Drosophila melanogaster: one gene and its partners. The protein of the gene in region 2 interacts with the protein of the main gene of each other region in a pairwise test. Each region holds a gene or a part of one and is shown on either strand. Other genes may lie near its edges.

Region 1 (7,002 bases), on a different chromosome or scaffold from region 2:
TCATTCAAGTTGCAACCGTATCGCAATCAAATCAATTAGTCGCTGGCGATAAGAGTGATGACGAGGTATACCGTATTCGGTATGAGTCGTGTGCTCCATGACTTCCATGACTTCATGCGACCCGAAAAAAGTCTGATAATACTGTTTGATACAGCGATCAACTAACTGGGCAACTGGCCAAAGCGTTTAGGCCGATAAGCGTTAGGAAGTCGAGTGGCAATTGCTGCCTAAAGCTTTTACCAGATTTATGGTATTATTATTTCGCGGCCCGGAATTAAGTAAAGTTCTTAATAAAGCGATGAGGAAACGCGACCGACAACCGGGCAGCAGCACTTTAAGGAAACTTGCTCTAAACGGCTAAAATGCAATTGCCAAATTTGTTAGCCTGATGCGGACAATGTGTGATATATATATATAACTTCTCGATTTGTGGGCTCGCTTTTGGGGGAATTTTAAAACACTTCCCCGTTTTATTTTCGTCAGCTTCCGGGACGGTAAAGTACCTTGTGTATGACGATCATGCCCAAAAGCCAGCGATTCGAAAAGCCCGGCTTTCAAGCGATTCTCGAAGAGAATCAACACAGAGAATTCGCATGAGAAAGAGCATCAATATCGCATTTAGCACTCTACGTGATATCGTCGACACTTTGAAAGATATATGCAACTTTTCCCATCGACTTTTTGTAACCGGGGAAGTTATGGTTTTTATCACCCGTCTGCGCTTTTCAGACGATGCGTCAGTTAAGCCAGCCGGCACTAAACAGATTCACTCGTCATTTGGCACGAACTGCGGCCGGTTAATGATGAGTTATTTGCATTTGGCCAAGATACACGATCTACGAAATGCAACCGTTAATCTTCAGGGCCGAGTGTTATTTAAAAATATAATAAATTATGAATAAATTATGTTTTGGGGGTATTGTCAATTACTTGGCTACACCATTACTCTCAAAGTTCTCAATTTAAATTTGCTACATTAGTGATTTAGGCAAATTAAAATGTGAAATGAAAACATTGATACCGAATGTTTACAATACACATTCTTCTATTATCGAAGCCTTAATTTTAAAAATAAATAAAAACAAAAGGAGAACAACAAACAAGACTCCACACCTTACAAAAGTTCGGCTTATCAGTTGACCTTGCGCCCAGTCTTTAGGCATTTTTTTGTTTCTGGGTCACCAGGCGAATTGAATTAAGTTGCGAGCCAAAGCGACCTTGGGGGCTTACTCGACTGGAAAATTTCGTTAAGCTATTGCGAATCGGAGGTTCTAAGCCCGCAAAAATAGCGCAGGTGCCAATAGAGTGAGCCAATATAGGGGCCACAAAGAAATCTCTGTTAATTGCTCGGCTCTTTCTGATTCGAATTTGTTTGCTTTTCGTGTTCTGATATTGAATAATAATCATGGGACAACCATGATAACCATTCAAAAGTGACGAATATTATGTAAATGCGTGAGCGATTTTAAGTTGAAGCGAGTTTTCAGTTGGTTTAATCTCGGGATTACGATTAACAATTAGCTGACTAACAATTCGCTGCTTAATTATCGAGGAAGAGCAAACTTCTGAGGGTCTGAAATAAAATGCAATAAAAAGGGTGTGAGGAATTGTACTGAAAAGTTCTGAACATTTGCATGACGGGAAAAGCCGAAGATCCGTAGTTTTTATCCCGGAAGAACCCATTTCACCTATTTAAGAGAACGAGAACAACCAAGCCAGTGGAGTTAAGAGCATTGGAGCTGGCTCTCTTGGCGATCAATTAATTTGGTGCTCGTTTGGTATGCATTATAAATTAATTTGTTATCAATATAGAAAACCGGTAAACTTGCCTTACGCCACGCTCTTCATCTGTCGCCCCCTCTCGCTCTGTCGGCCACATGCCGTCCCGCTCTGGCAGTCACTCTCTTACGCATCGAAGCCACTGACGTCGCAGTAGCAGCGCAGTCCGCTTTTAAAACTCTATAAAAAGTCTCAAACAAATCACAAGATTTTCAGTTAAATTTCAGAATTCGCAAACTGCGGTCGCCTTGATATGAAAAATTAATTAAATTTCAATAAACGAGAAGCGCGAAAAACCAAACGCAAACGGTCCAATTAAACTAGCATAAATACTATACACTAAACAATTATCTAGAAATATATATAGAATATATTTATTTCGAAATAACCAAATACCATGTTCCCCAAAAGTCACATCGTTTTGGCCAGCTCTTTGCTGTTGTTAATCGCCCTGCCAGGTAAAAACAAAAAAAAACAAGCATTTTGGGTATTTGCGGCTATTAGAATATCGTGAAAAGTGTCGTGATAACTTTGATGTGCATTATTTTGCCCAAAACGGTCTAAATCATGGGCATATATCTGATATCAGATATCAGATACCAGATAACGCCAGAAGGAATCATGCGATCTGATAAACATATCGTGAGGATTTTATAGCTGCGCTATAAATACACGTTCGGTGTCTCAAGTGTTGCTATTGCACAGATACAGATACATTTGCAGATACATTTACAGATTGATGTATGCAGTTGCCAAAAAAAAAAAAACCAACGAAATGTATTCAGAATTCAAGATCACGATCATTTGGCCATAATATCTTGCATATCAAGCAGTGACATTAAAAAAGCTCAATTTATTTGTTATTATTCAACTGTCATAAATAATGCAAAAATTGTTTTTTTTTCCATTCAACCAGTAATTTTGTGTGTTGCGGAAATGTCATCCAAGCAGCCAGCTCCCACCCTTCGATTTCATTATATGTGTATAGCATTATCATTGGGGCGGCCCTCTCTAATTTATGCCTCAGATGAAAAGGAAAAGTCAGTCGGGGAAATTGTGAATAACGAACAAATATTAGTTGACATTGAAACGGGCTGGCAGCTGCTAATTGAAAATGTTATAGTTACACTTAACACATTTCGCAAAAGGCGGCCCGAAATGGAAAAACTCGTCTGGCCATTAGCACCACTCAGAAAATAACCGAACCAAACCTGAATTTATAATACGTTTTCACGATCTTTTGACGCAATTGCAAATGATTTCATTTCATTTGTGTTTTTTTTTTTCTTGATTCGAGAAGAGTAACGTATATTATATACCAAAATCCACTTCAAACTTGTTTGTTTTCTTCATTAAACGGGATAAGAAATCGGTAAATCGTCTAGAACGACCTTTGACTTGAGAATTTTAAATGGCTTTTCAACTACTTTTCAAAACAGCATTTGCATCACGGGGTGTTTTATGGATTTACCCAAGTAAATAATAACCCAACCAGTTGCACCCTTGTTTAAGGGGAAAAAAATCACCGAGTTGCACCTTTTTATTATGTGGACATTATAATAACAATATTAATGAGAGAGAGTTAAAGGTGTACAAAAAAATTTAAAATGGCAGTGGCGCTTATCACGTGCTTTTAAACCCCAACAATGTTGTCGTTCGGCTGGAGAATTTAAGACCCTGCCTTCAGATCCCCAAAACTAGCCATCAATCACAATGATTTATGATAAATTTCCAACAATAAATCAACACAGGCCAGGCAGGGATGTATTGAACCATTTGATTGTGACGATTTAACGAAATTATTTTAAATATTATTAAAGTCTGCTGCAGTTACTCACTTAGCAAGAACTTACCCTTTCGGCACGAGTTGTGATATGAGATATCATGTTATCAATATCATATGGAAGGCCCGTCAAGAGGAGATCAACTTCCATGTCGGATTATCATATGACTCATTTGTGGTACTCAGTACTCCACTAATATTTGGATTTTATGGAGGGTAGCCATCTCCGCTGATAAGGCAATTAATGCAATTACGCCAGTGTTGCCACGCCGATAGGTGACTCTATTTACCTGTTGGCACCTGGCAAATATTTACCATTTGCTGCGATGACGATAACATGCAAATGGAATCGATTCGCTGGTGAAGAGCGCCCATATAAAACTAGATAAAAAAAAAAACAGCTACTTGCGCTAGATCAAAGGCTATGGAAAAGCACATACAACGTAATACTAAAGAATGGGCAAATAATACGGCAAATACTTGGGATTTAAATTGATTTATGGTGCTCACATGTTCTTTATTCTTATTGTCATTTATCTTGTTTCTGTTTGCCAAAGCTGTAAATTGAGCACTTTTAAGTTATATGTAGATATCTACGCGTCCAATAAAATGTGTGCGAAAAATGGAATAGCACTGGTTTATACGCCATAAAAATGTATAAAATTTAATCTGCGATGATAGTTGAAGAGGTGTATATATATATAATAAATACTCTGCTGCTTCATAAAATATATACATACATATTTGCATAAGAATATCTATTTAGTCCACTTAAAAATCGTAAACAAGCCTGGCACTCTAAATTAGTTCGATTTATTTGATTTAGATTGATAAGCAGAAAAACAATGACTTTATTAAGGTTTAATGGTTTCTTTAAATTGCAGTAATTCGCGCCGATCTCATGTGCTATGTGTGCGATAATTGTGCCCAGCTACCGAAGGATGCACCCCTGCTGGCGTGCAATGAGGATTTCTTTAATCCCGGCGGCAGCACAGAAGCCTCCACGGTGACCACCACCGAAGCGAGCACCACTACGACGCAGGAGACTACAACAACACCGGAAACAACCACTTTGATTGTGACAAGTGTCCAAACGGATTCACCCACAACGGAGTCCACGACGACGACAGTGGAAACCACCACCAGCGATCCGACCACCGAGAGCACCCAGAGCACTGAAAGCACCGAGGCTCCGATACCCACGCCGGGAACCGCCGGACCCGTCGAAACGACCACCGGAGTGCCCACGCCACCCGCTGAGGATCTGTCCGCCATGTCGGTGGCCTTGAACACCACCCGTTTGGTGCCAGTGAATAAGGACGAGGGGACCACAACGCCCACGTCATCGCTGGCAATCAGGCAACGCAGGGCGGTGATCGATACCGACTACACCTACCACTGCTATTCCGTTCAGGTTTCAGGTGAGTCTGCATAAATGATATCCTTCAGAATAGATCATTGTATTCAAAATGGTTAAATAGATCCTTTTGCGTAGATTCTATAGAAATCTAAAAGAAATTATTAATCTTTTTATCTTTCATCTGAAATTCTAGTGAATGGCACAATGTCGACGGATCGCGGCTGCTCCCGGGTGAGCACCATGGAAGGTGTTTGCGAGCAGCTAAAGATTCAGAACAAAAACACGGAGCTGGCCAACTGCAATCCGTGCAGTATGAACGCCTGTAACGGCAGCTCGGCGCTCCAGAGCTCCATTCTGGCCACCCTGCTCCTGGCCATCGTGGCATTCGCCCTGCAGCGCAACTAGAGACACGATCATCATCCATTACCCGGTGCTTTAGTCTAGTATTCCTCGTTTCTTTAAGGCGAACTCACACACTCATCAGTCCGCGCTCATAGTTAAGTGATTCGAAAAGTCGAAAATCGAAAATGTAAATTTAAGATATGCACAAAACCGAAAATCGAAATATATACAATCGTATTTGTATACAAACTTAATCTAACCAAATGTAACGCTCCAGGCGACTTAATAAATAATGTGTAATTATTAGAACGTTCGTTTTATTTGAGCTCAACTGCAATTGTCAGTGATTAGTAATTTGAAAAAAAGTGATTTATGACATCACTCTGCGGCACAGATAATAAACTCAAATATCCTAAACTTTATAACACTTTCGGTTAATATCTTTAGAAGAATTTTTTATGGCTCTACTTTTATATTGTGGAAGATAAATGGAGCTTTAAAAGTACAGCGCGATCACATCCTGTCAATATAATGAATGCTATATACATACACTCCATGCAACAATAAATTGTAGACAACTTTAAAAGTCTCTAAACTCTGAAGCTTAATGTCGAGATTTGAAATTTAAAATTATGGTTAGACGACAAAATGTTTGTAGATTTCTAAATAGAGAAGGGGAGGGAGTTCCCAATACCTTACCAATGCCAATGTCACGTATACGCCTAGTGGTACGATTTCATTTACTGAGCAAACATAGTATGCTAAAAAACGAGGCGGTGGCATACTTTTAGGCCATTTATGCTAAACAAATTTGCTCAAGACAAGCCCAAAGACAAAATCAACAAGGAAATCAAACACAAAAGAAACAATGCTTTATCATTGATTAGATAAGATTTCATTAAACAATTTCGGGACTTTGGGAAACACTAAACGCAATAAATATGCTAGCACGCGCTTATCAATAAAATGATTTTATAGCGCCAAATAAATACCACTAAAAAGTGCGCGAATAACTCAACAAAACCATTTAAAGTTTTCCAAAAAAAGTATCTAATCGGCTTATCTCGAATTTTAACCAATTATAGCAATATTAAAACTGACCTGCACGTTATACAAATTGATAAAATCCGAAATCCATTTAGACTTGGCGACTCCTTTCAGAATGTTGTCAATAGATTATGAACTGCATGCCCACACTATTGTATAGATTAGACTAACTTATCAGGTGTAATTGAATGAAAATCAATAAATCATGTTTAAGTAATTTCTACGTAGTTCAACAGCTAAATAGAAAAGTTAATAAAGGTCCAATGTCCAAAGAAACCATGATTTTGGTGCTCATCTATTAGGCAGCTGTCCAAAAATGTATGAATCATGATAAATAAATGTACATAATACTGTTTATTTAACCACGCTAGAAAGCAATGAATCATACTAAATAAATGAATTAAATGGCATTTGGCTGCACTGATATTGCAAGATTATTTATCGATATTCTTTTGGCAACGGGAACGGCCAACAGAAAGTACAAATACTTACTTGATTTACACTCATAAAAAAAATGTATTTAAAAGCAGTGTACATTTTTCCTGAATGTATTTTTCGGAAAAAGTTTTTTATATTAACGTGATATTTATTTATCGTAGTAAATACAAATAAATAGATATTGTTATTTAGATGTTGCTGTTTGCAATCGGAGCTCTTTTTTCCAAGTGCCATATACGTACAACTTTTCTAT
Region 2 (3,572 bases):
ATATTCAACGAACAGGAACTGGAACTTCTCATATCCGGCCTGCCGGATATTGACATTGAAGATCTAAAGGCGAACACCGAGTACCACAAGTACACCTCTAAATCGGCGCAGGTGAGACCATGATTGTGCATCTTCCTCCATCCTCCATCCCTCTCTAAACCATGTATTTTTTACCCATTCATTAGATTCAATGGTTCTGGCGTGCACTGCGTAGCTTTGACCAAGCGGACCGCGCCAAGTTCCTGCAATTCGTCACTGGCACATCGAAAGTGCCGCTGCAGGGCTTCGGCTCGCTGGAGGGCATGAACGGGATTCAAAAGTTCCAAATCCATCGGGACGATCGATCCACTGATCGCTTGCCCTGTGCACACACCTGGTGAGTAGGGATCCACAAGTCGCATGAATTGTTTGCAATGTCATAGACCGTATTAACTTACCCATCTCTGATTGCAGCTTCAACCAACTGGATCTGCCCATGTACAAGTCATACGACAAGCTGCGGAGCTGCCTGCTGAAGGCCATACACGAGTGCTCCGAGGGCTTTGGCTTCGCCTAAGGTGCGACAACTGTGACGGCAGCTTCAAGCACCAGCCGGCAGAGCCACCAGTAACCAACAAACCATGGACGCAACACTATTCCTACAACGCCCTCAAATACACGGGTGCAACGATGAGAAATGCATAATTGATTTGAATTGAACAGAACAGAAGAGAACAGAACAGCCACTGCAAATTTGCGATAGCGGCAACAGAAACTGCATACATAAACAGTACATATAGTTATATAGTATATATAAAAATGTTGAATTAATTATTAATTTTCGCGCCTATATATATATACAATATATATTTTCTTAAATTTTCAAAAGAAAACGGAAGAAAACTAAGGAAACCTAACAAAAAAAAATATAAAATATAAAACTGATACAGACGCGAAAAGTATATTCGATTTAAAATTCTCTGCGCAACTCATCTTTTTTTTTATTAATTTTTTGGAATCTATCTCTGTCGTTTTGCACATTTTTATCAAAAGAAAAGGATTTATATAAAGAAAAAAAATACACTGACACATTTTCATTTACCCAAACGCGAAACCGAATAGAAAAGGATTAAACGTAGTTTATAGATCGCAAATGCACATAAACAGATTACACACTTGGGTTACTTGTTTACTTAAGTGAATGTACGTACCGAAGATAAAGGGAAGCAACAGAAAAAATATTTAAATGGATTAAAGTATTTTGATGTAAGAGATAAGTCCTTATGTTAATGCATTTTATGTTTACCTTTGAAATAATGAGACGCAGATGTAACTTAAAGAATGTGGAATAAAGAATAAGCTCATTTATCACAATAAATTTTCAGAAATCACTTCACATGCTCATTATAAATGCGGCTGGAAAGGATGGGTACGCCATATATATAAATAAATACATATATAAGGTCTTAATGTCGATCTCATTTAATTTGGGCGCCTTTCAATTTGAAATTCGATTCTATCGCAACGGGCAACGACAGATCGATATCTCATGCACAGCAAACCGATCGACATTATCGATTGTGACATCGAATTTTCGGACAGCTGACAGCTGCAGTCCGTATGGATTTGTTTATCCGAAAAGAACTGAGCCTATCCACGAGCAGCGTGCTTGAAGATGTGGCGCCGCACTGTCTCAAGCTACTCACATGGCTGCACGATTGTCAGGAGGAGATGCACTCCGAGCACCGCCATCTGCGACTGAGCCAATCCGTTGTGGAATCCCTGCTAAAGGCTCACCTGTACCTGTTCGAGTGCTATGATCGCTTCGGGCAATCGCTGGCCGAACGCTGCGATTGCCGTGGCTTCTTCGCTAGCTGCTCTGCATTGGTGGATCGACGGAAGTGTATTCGTGAGCTGTGTACCACCATCGTGAACACACGAAAGGGAGAAACTCATGCACCACTGCTTCATCTTTCGCATCGAACGTTGGCCGAGATTCAGCCTGCGTGGAGTGAGATCGGTGATTTGGACTGGTCGGCAATACGCCAATCGGATGCGCTTTCTTCCAGCGATTTTATCAATCCCGATCTTCAGCAGATGCGACGGCTAGTCAAGCGGATTGGCCGCTTATCCAGCCTTGAGGACATGCAGACCGCAATAAAGCGCTCCATGGAGCTGATTGAGTACCAGGTGTGGCTGCAGCTTTTTAGGGAGCCAAAGGACAGCGAAATTCACAAGGATTGCTACCTAATGCGCCACATGATCTGTGACACTTTATCGGAGGGCGGATCTACCGCTTGCACCGGCTTCCTGCACAATATCTTTCTGTTCGTATCGCAATCCGCCAATGAGATGAGATTCTGGGCCAGTATGGAGCATGTACGTCTGGCCGGCAGCCTTATTGCCTACCTAATCGACCATTGGAATCGCCACCTGCCCTACCTAGACTTGGATGAGATGCAATTGACCGCTGATGCACCAGTCACGGCTGTCTCGCAGCTGCCCGTGAACGAGGCCACATACATAACCTACCTGATGCTGGCCACCGGATCCATATGTCGCCGGCAGTTCGCCCAGCAGCTGCGTGCCCAACTACCCCCCAATTCCTGGACACATTTGCTGGAGCTGCTAAATAAAGTGGCATTCGTTTTCACTTAACTACACTACGAGTTTAATCATGTTTCGGCAAAAACTCGCAGTTGCCATCGGTCAGGCGAACCACCTTCTCGCCCTTCTCGGCCAGGATCTCCTCGATGTTGCGCTTGCCGTCCAGATCTGTGAACCAGTTCAGATTGTCGGCGATCAGGTGGTGATTGGAGCAGCCCTCGCAGGTCACGATAACAACGCCGCGTTGGTATGCCAGCTTCGAAATGGTCTTCATGTTCCGGGTCTGGCACACCTTGCAGGTGTAGATCAGCTGCATCTTGGCCTCCAGTTTCGCCAGAGGAATGCTATTCGTGGCCACCGTCTTGTCCGCATCGTCCTGGGAGCAGAGCAAAATAATTATACTTAACTTTTTTGTTATACATAATTTTAAATATTGCATTCCATTTATAATATTTTAAATTACAAATGTAAATAACATTATTTAATATCAATTGGGTAGTTTATTTGTATTTACAACTGATTTCCAAACATACCACTGGCTTACTGCAGTGTATACTGCGGCAAATGCACGTGTAGTTGTTGCTGCTGCTAAAAACAGCTGTTTGTGTTTTGGTTGCAAAGTGATGCACTTGCAACTGCAATTGTGGACTATTTAAAGCATCAATTTGTGTTCTTCGGGAACTGGTAAGTAGTGCGCCTCTTCTCACACCTGCGCTGATTTTATAAAATTTTTTTAGGGCGGACATATCCTCGATTTTGTTGATATTATTTAACTCAATCGAAAAGTGTGAAATTCATTTAAACTTAGAGATGGCACCTCCTTTCATTTCAAAACTAGTCGCGAGTCACGATTTTAAAAAGTTACTATAGCTGTCACTGGTGCTGATAAAATTTGCTGTAACTCACAGACATTAAAACCAATTGTTAATATAAATTCTACTGTGAAATATTAAGTTAAGTTATTAATGAAGTCCACCTGGACTCTG
Region 3 (7,767 bases), on a different chromosome or scaffold from region 2:
TAAAACTTGTAATATTTGTCACAAATGAATGACGACTAGATTTGGCCATGTCTGTAACAATAAACGTACAAAATATTCGAAGTTGCAGAAATGGGGATCCAGCATTCGGATTTGGTTTTTTGTCAAACTTTTAAATATAGAATCGGACCACATCTTTTTAAGACCTTAAAAAACTGATTTGAAGTTAGACCCCTCATAATGCCAACTAAATTTGTTAAACAAAAATATGCCCCTATATGCCAATCAAATTTAAATACAATGCTTTCTCAGCGTTTCAGTTAAATACTTTGGGTTGTTTAATGGTTTTATACGTATACATGTGCTAAGTCCATGTATCTTATATTTCGTAAATCCATAGATTTTGTTCGACGAAACTTTGCTAAATGATATTGATCTTTCAAATATAACTTGTTAATTTCCTTTCATCGCCGTGGCAAATCCTTCGAGAGTGAGTACTACTTGTTAAACGCATATATGAGGAAAATTTATTGATGAATAATGCGAACATGCAAACGGAACACATCCCCGAATTCACACAAAGCATCTCTGTGGTATCTCTTTTGGTTTTTTATTTGTTGCATCAACTCCGCGGAACTCCAGCTACCTCACTGCAGGTCGTAGTAGTCGACGTTATTGGCGGTCAGATGTTCTCTATTAATTTGGAGCGTGCTGCTGTTTCCACTTCAAACTTTTATTAACATATATAGTATGGGTTTGCCGGTATATTGCAAACGGGAACTAAGTGTAGATTCGTGAATGATATCAGACTGGACTGCAAACGTTTAGTTTCTAGCATGTTTTTTTTACTCTCTCCTTTATTTGTTGGAATTTTTGAGTTTTATATAGGTGGAGTTTTCAAAATGACATTAATTCATAGGGGTGAGTTTTATATATAGTTCGACTGGCTGTTGCAGGTGCTGGTTTCGAATTTTTGGATGGGGATGCTAAAGGGCGGCTCCGTTTGTGTTCATCCTCATTTAGCCATCAACCAAGTTCTTACTCGCCATTCTTTTGTTCGTCCTCAGATTCGGATTCTGAAAGAGAATAGAATACAAAATGTTAGTATGGGGGCTTCAATTGGTACAAACTGAAAAGATGTGCAGCTCCGGTTATGCTGTCCAAATGATTATTGGCCAAATTTAACTATGGAAAGTTATCTGGACACCCAACCATTCAAATGCTTTGGCACAACTCCCCGCTTGGCTCAATCGAATGAAGCAACCATTCGGAGCTTTTATGAGGGGATTGTGCATGCGGACTAGGACAAATGCAGCTGTCCAAACGATTATTGGCCAAATTAACCACGGCATTGGGTTATATGGGCACCCAATCATTCTTTCGCTTTTGCATACTGTACATGAACCCTTTAAAACTGGTTCCTAATAATGGGAACACTTTAAAAGCTTGGTAAGAAGCATGCTCGGTGAAGTCAGCTATTTGTGTCCAAGTTTTCATTGGCCTTTGATGCTCGGATTTTGTGAGGCAACAAGGCAAGCAAAAACTCAAATGCTCTTGCAATTTTGTACAATGAAAATGTCATCCAGGACAAGACCATTCTCAAAAAGTGCACTGTGTAAAGTTTCGAAGGAAGCAAAATTTGAATATTTATATTGTCCAGGTTTTCATTGGCCTACGTTGTTCAGTGAATGGAAATCAACGAGGCAAGCAAAAAACCCAAATTTCTCTTGCAATTACGTACCAGAATCAAGCTATTTAAGACAAGACCATTCTCAAAAATTGCACGCTGATAACATTTATCAAAACATACTAACCTTCTTCGGCTGACTGAAGCCATTCGACAAACTTTCGCATTTGTTCAAGGAAATGCATTTTGCCCTTGTTTGAGTGGCCCTCCTTGTACCAGCGCAAGATGATCTCCTCGGACAGGACCTCGGTCTTGTAGAACAACAAAATGATTTTCTGGAAGGCCTTCATGAAGTTCATGTTCTCGTAGCAGAATTCCTGCACCTTCAAGATTAGGGCCAATTCCGAACGGTCGGTCGAGGCGAAAGCCTGCAACAGTGGGCAGTAGTTCTTCAGATGACGAACAGCCTGATCGGTAACCAGCTCCTCCTTCTTGTTCCATTCGCCCAATGACATGATGGTGGACCAAATCTGGTAAAGATCATACATGAGATTTAGTAAGGAAATCATCCAGTTGGATTATTTACGCATCGACTTACAATAACAATTATTTCATGATCGGGAATGTTGGTGCGCTGCGAGAAGTCCTTAATGTCTGAGGTTATCTCATTATATGGCTTCTCATCGTTGATATCATCGATGAGCGCCTGCTGCAACTCACGCTTCGCCTCCTGGCTAGCCTGAGCCTTATGTAGCTTGACGATCTCGTTAAGTTCTTTGTCAAGAAAAACTTGTTTAAAATATTCCTCAGTACGTTTGTTCGGTGGGAAAAAGTCCATAAGTCTGGAAAAACGTGAAAAAGTGGAACCATTATTAATAATTTAAGTTAACGCATTCAATAATCAACCTTAAATGACGTATTGAGGTGTACGAAATTAAATCAGCACCCAAATGAAGCGAAAGGTCATTTGCGAATTGGGTAAAACTCCGTCGAACTTTCTTACTCTAGGAATATCAATTAAAGATGCACAACTGGATCATTGAGTCATCTTCCTGAGAACATTCCGGGGCTAAAAACAAATCACAACTAAAAACTTACTTGCTTTCCAGTCCACCCTTCTTAAGCGCCTGAATCAGATATGCAATGCCCTTCTCTTGCTTGAACGTCTGGAACAGCTCTAGTAGAAACTCCAATGCAATGCCATCCTTGATTAGGTGCTCGTTGTTTAGTACCAGTAAAACATTTGGCGGTACAGAACCGTTGACTGTTGATCAAAAATAGGGTTAAATATAGGGTTAGTCAAATGTTTTCGCAAAACAAGTTTAGACGGCCGGCTAGCAATCCTGTCCTTGGGCTCGTGGCCCTTAGATGTGGTTAGTTCATCCAAGAGTCAGTATACCAAGTGAAGGATTACTTTAGCCCCTCAGCTGCAAGTTGAACAAGTGTTTATCGAAACAACTAATTGAAAGACCGAATGGGCAGACGCAAGCAATGCACAGGAGGAACAGGAACATAAATGTTAAGACTTACCTAACCAGAGCGCTGTCATACGCGCAAGCTTGATGCGTTCACTAGGAGTAAAGCCCTTTACGAATAATAGAACCTTTCCCATCTCCTCTTCGAACATTTTCTCAAGGTACTTGTACCGTCTGATGAGCTTGACAAATACCTGGAAAAGGTAAAGTGTGATTGCCCCTGTTAGCGGATGGTGAAATTTTACTGTGTTCTCACGCAGGAGGCTTTTGTATTTGTTGTTGCAACATTAGAAATCTTTAGATTGCTGGCGGTAGTAATTTTACAAAATAAAGACAAGTAAAATGTGGCTTTTTATTTTGCATATTTTGACACCGATTGAGTTGTTGAGATGCATAACCGGTTCTAATAATATGCACTTTGATTCAATAGCGTGACCTTCGCAGTGGTTGCATGCATATAGTATATATATATAGTGTTGAATAAAGAGTAGTTGTTGACACATAAGAAATCTTCAGAACGTTAGTGTTTAGGACAAACCAAAGACAAGTAAATGTGTTGATTGTTATTGCATATTCTTGACACCGATTACATTTTTGAAACTTTATAGTCAGCTCTAATGATATGCAGCCACTTCACGAATTTCATACTTTTAAGTGGATCCGAAGAAAATCATTTAGTAGTAAATAAACGTTTTAGCTTGGAAAACAACAAGAGCTCAACTTGTGTTGCAATCAAACCAATTTTCGTTTACTCATAATCATAATTTAAGTATGACCTGCTAAAAGATTACAAACCTGCTCATGGTTGCGCATGCTCTCCATGCTCTCGGGCGCATCGAAGATGCAGTAGCTTGTGCGCGGCTTTTCGCCATCCTGAGATATAGAACCACCAGGCACTGCAATTGAAACGAGGATGGAAAAGGGTCAGTGAAGAGACTAAACACATTACTTGCAGCGGAAAACTTACCTAGTAGACCTCCTGCAATCAATATGTCAAAGAGAACTTCACCGTAGCGACGATAGTCGAGCTTGTTGCCCGCGCTGTCTAGATATTTAGAGATTTGTTCCAGGTCGCCTTCAGTTTTTTCGAGACCAGCAATGACCGCATCACGGAATCCCGTTGGGTCATATTTTTCTCTTTCATCTCTTTTTCTGGTCTTGATGCGTTGACCCGATAGCACTGGTCTTTCAGTTTTTTGACTCATACAATAAATTGCTGCAAAGGTAAATGTGGATCAGAGATGGAAGCGGTTTTGGTTTGCCCCTGTAAGTTTTTATTTCTGACCAGACTAAATTATCATGGCCACTAGATTCATTTTTAGATTTATCTTAATTTTAGTGTAAGATGACTAAGGTGGTCTCCAAGCGGTGGAAAACCGTTCCCTGTATATGTATTCTCGTTGCGCTCATAATCAAACTACAACATTTTCACCTATGACCGGCGTTTAAGTGGAAACTCTAGTGAAAACTGAGCCTAAGAAAGCCTTAACCTAAAAATGCCAGCGTACATGTGCTTTAAACACACACATTCAAGAGCGGAGAACGGGCACACTTCACATCTCTTTTTAATTATCTCTCTTTTTCACACACACATACCCACTGTGCATTTTACAGTTTGATAATGTCGACAAAAGAAATAAAAAGAATTGAGAGGTGAGGCGACCAAGAAATCGACATAGAAACGCAGAATAAAGTGAAATTTTGACGTGGTTACTTGTGTTAGGTAGCGCGCTGGGGAAATGAGGTCATTGTGCATGTAGTGCACATAAAAACGCGCCGATGACTGTGTGCTAGTTGGCCGGGAAAATTGTCATAGCAGCGAAAACGCAAAAATTAAATTATCTAGGCTATCAAGTACACATTGGTACATATAAGGAACGGCAACTTACGCTTTCACCCAAGGATATTAAGTCTGGCCCTGTGTTTGCCGCTTCCGCGTGTCCTTGCAATCAATTGAAATCAGTCGTGTGCGAGTGTAGTGTGTATGTGTGTGTGTGTGTGCCTGTTGCTTTTTCACAACTAACGAACGTGCGAGAATATGTAATTTAATTTAACCTCACGAAGCGCTGGCTGGTTAATGCTTCTCACTCGAGTCGACGAAAAACAAAGAGACAGATGGCAGATCCCTTCTTTTCTTACCTCTCTTTTCTTATGAGCGAGCTTTTGCACGGTAAAATTGACACGCACGCACACACACAACAACAAAGAAAAGGGGAGAGCAAATAGAAAATATAATTTTTTGTAACGGAATTTACTTTTATGCCTTCAAAATAAACGTTAACAATTTTGCTCAGACTACGTCCGGAATTCTATTTTTAACAGCTATCACAATCGGTTACTAGGTATATGTGTTGTTTGCCTCGAATCCAGCGCCCCTCTGCTCGCACCACTTTGTTAAACGAAATTCGGAGAGCGAATGAGACGACACACGAGCGCACGAACGAAGCGGACGAGCCGAGAACGAAGACATGTGGTTCGGCGCCATTTTGAAGCGATACACTGACATGGCGAAAGCGGAATGATGGGCACAGGGAAAACGAAAATTAGGGGGAAACGGTGAGAAAAAATGTGGGATGGGGGTTCAAAGTGTGTATATTGCTGTCGCGCTTATTAAATAATGAGCAAGGTACAGTCGAACAAAGGCCGACGGCCACCAAATGATTTTTTGCATGAATATATGACTGCCCGATGACTAATCTGGCCTTAGGTACGCACGCAGTTCGTACATAACCCCTTTTCCAACGAAAGCGCAGACAAAGGATTGGTCAAGGCCAGAGAAATGACCAGGACCGCGATTTTACTCGCCCTATTTGTCTTTCTGTGTACTTAGGTCTACTCTAGCGCTATTTTTCACTCCTATACTTACGATTAAAACAAAAAAATCTGTTTTGCTGCGAATAAAAGTAACTTTTTGCGTAGCTGTTGGGCTGCTTCTTCTGGATGACTTGCGGTATGACCGTGGCCTGCTTCGTACGCAATGGTACAGAGCTCACTAAGGTGTCCAAAAGGTGGCAACATTTTGGTGAAGCTGTTGGCTGGCCCCACTAACCGGACCTGAAAATGGTGCAGCGCTGCCGGACATTTAACGGAATCAAAGATTCCACAAAAGTCATGTTTGCATTAACAAAATTCATATTTAACCTTAACAAATTCAACAAATTAAGTTAAGTCCATTTTAGTAGCGTTGCGAGGAGTTTATTTTCGAAAATACGCCTTTGTATATATTATATATTTTTCCTCCACTTTAAACAAAATCGAAAGGTGTCCATTTGTCAGCTATTTAAACAATATGGCATCGCCGCCTTACTTGCTCAGTAAGAAAATTTAACTGTTTTTTTTTTGCGCACCTGAAAGCGGCGATAGACATTGTTTACTTTTAGTTTATATTTACATTATCCAAAAGCCAAATGAACTTTGAGCAGGTCAATATACCAGAGAAACTAGTGCCGGACAACTATTTGCAACTGGGACTGGCTGCGCAACGCAGTAAGCAGCGCAGTTTTAAGGAGCTGCTCGAAAAGGTAATCAAACCGAAATTAAACCCAAATTAATTGATAACTCCATGGATAATTCTTCTTTTCAAGCGAAAGCTTCCGAAAAATGGTTGGTCCGATGAACGTATCGAGGAGCTGGTGCACATGCTGGCTTCCTTGGACAGCAATAACTATCCACATAAGGTCGGTTTAGGAGAGCGGGAGGCGCGTATAGCCTGCAGTAAGTAAGGGATCAGGAGGCGATATCCCCCGTAATGAATTTGTCATTCAGAACTCGTGGCTCGCCGTCACTACAACTTCGGTCATGGTATCGGCAGATCTGGAGACTTACTAGAGGCACAACCCAAGGCAGCTGGCTCTACGCTGCTCGCTCGTCTCACAAACGCCCTGATTCTGGACCTTATTCGGGGAATCGGACTGCCCAGCTGTGCTGGCTGCTTTTTGGTGCCAATGTGTACAGGCATGACATTGACTTTGTGCCTGCAGAGTCTTCGCAAGCGGCGACCCGGGGCGCGGTATGTGCTCTGGTCCCGCATCGATCAGAAGTCCTGCTTCAAGGCCATCACAGCAACGGGCTTGGTGCCGGTAGTCATCCCCTGCCTTATTAAAGGAGAGTCCCTGAACACGAACGTAGATTTATTCCGAGAAAAGATAAAGTCATTGGGAGTGGATAGCATCCTCTGCCTGTACACTACCACCAGTTGTTTTGCTCCACGAAACAGCGATGACATTGCCGAAGTATCCAAGTTGTCCAAACAATGGCAGATTCCCCATCTGGTCAATAATGCCTATGGATTGCAGGCAAAGGAAATCGTTAATCAGTTGGAGTGCGCCAATCGAGTCGGACGCATTGATTACTTCGTTCAGAGCAGCGACAAGAATTTGCTGGTGCCAGTGGGTAGTGCCATTGTGGCCAGCTTCAATGAGAGTGTGCTCCACGATGTGGCCAGTACTTATGCTGGGAGAGCTAGTGGTTCCCAGTCACTAGATGTCTTGATGACGCTACTCTCACTTGGGCGCAATGGCTTTCGATTGCTTTTCGATCAGCGGGGCGAGAACTTCAATTACCTGAGAGAGAACCTTAGGAAATTTGCAGAGCCACGCGGAGAGATTGTTATAGACAGCAGGTTTAACTCCATATCCTTGGCCATAACATTGGCCACTTTGGCTGGGGATCAGATGAAGAGCATCACCAAGCTTGGCTCCATGCTAC
Region 4 (3,597 bases), on a different chromosome or scaffold from region 2:
AAGCGTGTTCTGCGCCGTCCGAGGAACTCCACACTCGGGCTGGGAAAATGTTAAGTATATTAAGTATGGTACATGTAACATGAGTCAATGCCATTTAATGTCTATATGTACATTTAGGCACTCAACTTTACATATGAAAGTCGTACACCGAAATGGAAAACCACTGAAAATAAGTAGCATCTCCATTCTAGCTCTAATTAGGAAAATCCTGCCCGTCTGTCAAATGAAATTGCTCAATTATCCCGCTCTGCGGTCGCAATGGCTCAATTGCCGCAGCACAGCAGACCCACCTTGGGATTGAGCAGCTCGTTGTCGTCACGTCGGCGCAGCATGATCCGCTTGGGCAGGCTGTTGAGGTTCAACTTCAGCTTTCCATAGTCCACCAGGTTGGCCAGCGGCGAGGAGGGGGAGTGATGCTGCTGCTGGTGCGGATGCTGTGTCTCGGCGACGCAGCAACTGAAGAGCCACTTGTTGCTGCCACATCCCTTTGCGTGCTTGCCGCCTTGGAGCCAGCAGGAGAAGCTCAGCTTGCAGGGCCATACGCCGCTCTGGTGGACGCATTCCGCGGGCACCCCCAGTAGGGTGTTCAGAATATCTGGGCGGGATTGGGTGACTAGACGTGGAGTTCCTAGCGCGCGTGCATATGTACTCACTGGCTTGACTGGGACTAGACTGACAGATGAGCAGGAGGAGGCACAGGCACAGCCACAATAGCAACTGCATCTTGGCGTCGGATTATTCGAGGTCACTATTCGCACTTCGCTTCTCCCCGAGGAGGATAACACTCAAACTGAAACACTCATCAGAATGGACTATAACGCTTTTGTTGCCAATGAAAGCATGACAGTTTCTTATTCACTTTTAAGCTGGCTCTGCGCTGCCGTTTTCTTCTTACGTTTCCTATTATTGCTGCTCCACTTTTACTAGAAGTCGGTGCTGTTTATGGGCCTGTCTGGGTGACTCACGGAGCTCTCGGGGAGCTGCTCGGCGCAAAAGAGATCTGTGTCCTTGATAGGCGAACAAGTTTCGGGGTCGCTTGCAAATGGGTCGCTGTTCGGGGCTAATGGATTTTTATATAACAATCATAATGGGAACCATGCCAATTCTGTGCCGACTGACTCGATGACACAGTTTTCCGTTCAGTTTTCCTTTTCCCAGCAGCCACGCACCTGCATTTCACACCACATCTTTCGATTCCGATTTCTGAGAAGTGTTCTGGTATTCTTCCGGGGAATAAACCACAACCATACGCGCCGCTGGCCAAACGCAAACTAACTTCACGCCATTAGCCAAGAAAGACGCAGCAACAGGTTCATCTTGGTTCTGGTTCGGACTTCTCTTGCTGCTGCTGCCGACAGTTTGAAGTGACTGCTGTCTTAAGTTGCTGCTGCTGCTGCTGCTTCTGCCTCATATGTGCTGGCCGATCTTCTTCATCATCACTACTAATTATTACGAAATGCTGATGACGCCGCCAGCGGCGCAGGAAATGTTCTCCCAGTCTATTGTAATTATTTTATGCGACATAATTGCAAGAACCGCTGCCATCTCTCGCCGGAATGGGAGCAGCTCATTTCACTGGCGGCAAGCGGAGTGCTCTTTGGGGTTAGGCCATCTAGACAAGGGAGAATGGGGGCCACACATTCATTTAAGTAACTTTCTAACTTGTCGCCACCTGGCCGGATTAGCATATTAAATAGGGTTCTTAAGTGTCGCCTATATTAGTGCCATTGGGTGGATAGGTGAAATTGGATTTTAAGACCCAAGAAAGTAAAAACTCATTTATCATTCTTCTATGTCTCTAAACCGGCTAAAATGACGCCGCATGCTTGATTGAGATACAAATATATTTGTTGGTGTTAAAGAAGCAGGCCCTGATCCCAGTCCTGTCACCTGGTTTTCACTCGTCTAGCCTTCAGTACATCGTTGTTTGTTCTGTTGCAAACACAAACAGACCCCAAACAGCAGATTCCGGCAGAAAGCACGTTCAGTTGGAAAACAACAAACGGTAACATGGCCCCCAACGATCCATCGCATCCTGGTGGAAAGTCAACCGCCGTGGCGATGGCCACCAGCCACACCATCTCATACGTGCAATGCCAGAACCTCAAATACAACGTCATTATCCTCGGCTGGCTGGGCGTGATCATCTCCACCGTCATCTTGGGCAGCTCGGCGCTGACCATCCACTTTCGTCCGGACATCGAGCTGCTGCTAAACCAGTGGCCCATGAACTTGGTCCCGGTCGCAGAACAGCAGCTACTGATCAATTGTAAGTACTCCCTAATCTTAAGCACTAACCTTGGAATTACCTAATGATGATTACTTGGCCACAGTGTTGACCATCTTTAGCTCCATTGTGTACGGACTGTCGCTGATCAACATGGGCGTCAGTCTGCTGCTGCTGATTGGTATTGCCCGGGTAAGTAAAACAAGTGGATATTATTGCATTCTAATTCAGTTTGAATCAGTTGATTGGCAAACGTTATATATGTACTTTCATTCAATTTAAAGCTTCACTATAATTATATATGTCCTCGACAGGACTCAAGCTGCCTAATTTATCCTTGGCTGATCTATCATGGCGTTATTTTTGGCTTTGGTCTTTACTTGGGGGTTTTCTACGCGACCGCAGGTCTGTTCATTGACCTGTCGAGCTTTCTAATGTGTCTTCTGGTGTTCAACCTTGTGCTGGGTAAGCCGACTATATCTTGACCCGGAGATCCCAATTATTTACGTATGCTTTAGTTATATTTTATAAGATCTATCACGAGGTCTTCACCCTATTTCGCGTGATGGAGCAGCTGTCGAAGGATGGCGGAATGGGCGGACTCTACTACCAGGATGCGGAGCATGGATGGACTGCGGCTGGGGTTCCCTTTCAACATGTCTATGTGCCGCGTCTGCCGATGCAAAAGTAACATGCACATTAACCATTTCCAGACCCAGACTGCAACACCAACAGCAACGAATTCAAAAAATTAGAAAAATATATCATTTGGACTTTGCTTGTACTATTAATAAAACTATAATACTATTACTAAAAAAGTACTATAAATAAACAACTCGAATTCATTTCAATATTTGTATAATTTATTTACACACGAAATGGAGTTCATAAATAGTTTTAAAATTACATAACAGCGCATATGACTAAGTAAATTAAACCGTAATTATCAGTTATAATTAATTTAAGGCTTAGGGTGCTTGCAGATACAAATAGATACAGATATCGCACACGTGTGTATCTATCTCTCAGATACGCACTGCCAATCCTAACTGCTAACTTGTACTGCGCTAATTTGTCTCTTAATTTAAATTGTATTTCTTGTGTAACCATAAATTAGGCGGCGTGGTTCGAAAGCGGAGCAAGGAGCAGAATGAAGTGAGTTATGTACAAAACAATCTGTGGCCCACTTAGCAGGCAGGTGCAAATGCGAATGCGGATGCGATACGATTGCGATTGCGATGAGAATAAATTAGATGTTCATCGTGAGTCCGACGACGTAGGATACCCAGTCCACGGTCTTGCTGACGCTGTGATAGATTCCCGGCTGACCGCGGGACGCGCAGGAGTAACCAGCAGAGACCACACCTAAA

Evidence for each region.
Region 1: the proteins of CG8191 (region 2) and CG7778 interact in a two-hybrid assay, tested with the Drosophila melanogaster proteins (one large-scale study listed by BioGRID).
Region 3: the proteins of CG8191 (region 2) and kra interact in a two-hybrid assay, tested with the Drosophila melanogaster proteins (one large-scale study listed by BioGRID).
Region 4: the proteins of CG8191 (region 2) and CG13747 interact in a two-hybrid assay, tested with the Drosophila melanogaster proteins (one large-scale study listed by BioGRID).

What each region holds. Positions count from the first base shown.
Region 1 is NT_033779.5:8,344,629-8,351,630, forward strand, and holds CG7778 (uncharacterized protein), read left to right. Parts: upstream 1-1,991; 5' UTR 1,992-2,176; coding exon 2,177-2,237; intron 2,238-4,446; coding exon 4,447-4,983; intron 4,984-5,115; coding exon 5,116-5,327; 3' UTR 5,328-6,484; downstream 6,485-7,002.
Region 2 is NC_004354.4:15,730,592-15,734,163, forward strand, and holds CG8191 (uncharacterized protein), read left to right. Parts: upstream 1-1,586; 5' UTR 1,587-1,599; coding exon 1,600-2,637; 3' UTR 2,638-2,650; coding exon of another isoform or gene 2,651-2,962; 3' UTR 2,963-3,072; downstream 3,073-3,572. Other genes in the region: HUWE1 (HECT, UBA and WWE domain containing E3 ubiquitin protein ligase 1), read left to right, coding at 1-111, 186-376, 454-556; CG12379 (uncharacterized protein), read right to left, coding at 2,651-2,962, 3,120-3,332.
Region 3 is NT_033777.3:5,595,089-5,602,855, forward strand, and holds kra (krasavietz), read right to left. Parts: upstream 6,049-7,767; 5' UTR 5,927-6,048; intron 5,484-5,926; exon of another isoform or gene 4,950-5,483; intron 4,486-4,949; exon of another isoform or gene 4,277-4,485; 5' UTR 4,266-4,276; coding exon 4,028-4,265; intron 3,957-4,027; coding exon 3,856-3,956; intron 3,690-3,855; exon of another isoform or gene 3,550-3,689; intron 3,479-3,549; exon of another isoform or gene 3,335-3,478; intron 3,255-3,334; coding exon 3,116-3,254; intron 3,070-3,115; exon of another isoform or gene 2,927-3,069; intron 2,850-2,926; coding exon 2,684-2,849; intron 2,652-2,683; exon of another isoform or gene 2,508-2,651; intron 2,428-2,507; coding exon 2,184-2,427; intron 2,116-2,183; coding exon 1,773-2,115; intron 1,744-1,772; exon of another isoform or gene 1,609-1,743; intron 1,571-1,608; exon of another isoform or gene 1,438-1,570; intron 1,422-1,437; exon of another isoform or gene 1,272-1,421; intron 1,253-1,271; exon of another isoform or gene 1,113-1,252; intron 1,035-1,112; coding exon 997-1,034; 3' UTR 276-996; downstream 1-275. Other genes in the region: SecS (Sec synthetase), read left to right, coding at 6,468-6,581, 6,645-6,774, 6,826-7,767. UniProt on the Drosophila melanogaster protein: May be involved in memory formation.
Region 4 is NT_033778.4:9,015,957-9,019,553, forward strand, and holds CG13747 (uncharacterized protein), read left to right. Parts: upstream 1-1,858; 5' UTR 1,859-2,010; coding exon 2,011-2,269; intron 2,270-2,333; coding exon 2,334-2,419; intron 2,420-2,541; coding exon 2,542-2,692; intron 2,693-2,745; coding exon 2,746-2,918; 3' UTR 2,919-3,076; downstream 3,077-3,597. Other genes in the region: CG13744 (uncharacterized protein), read right to left, coding at 1-39, 291-595, 654-723; CG8170 (uncharacterized protein), read right to left, coding at 3,477-3,592.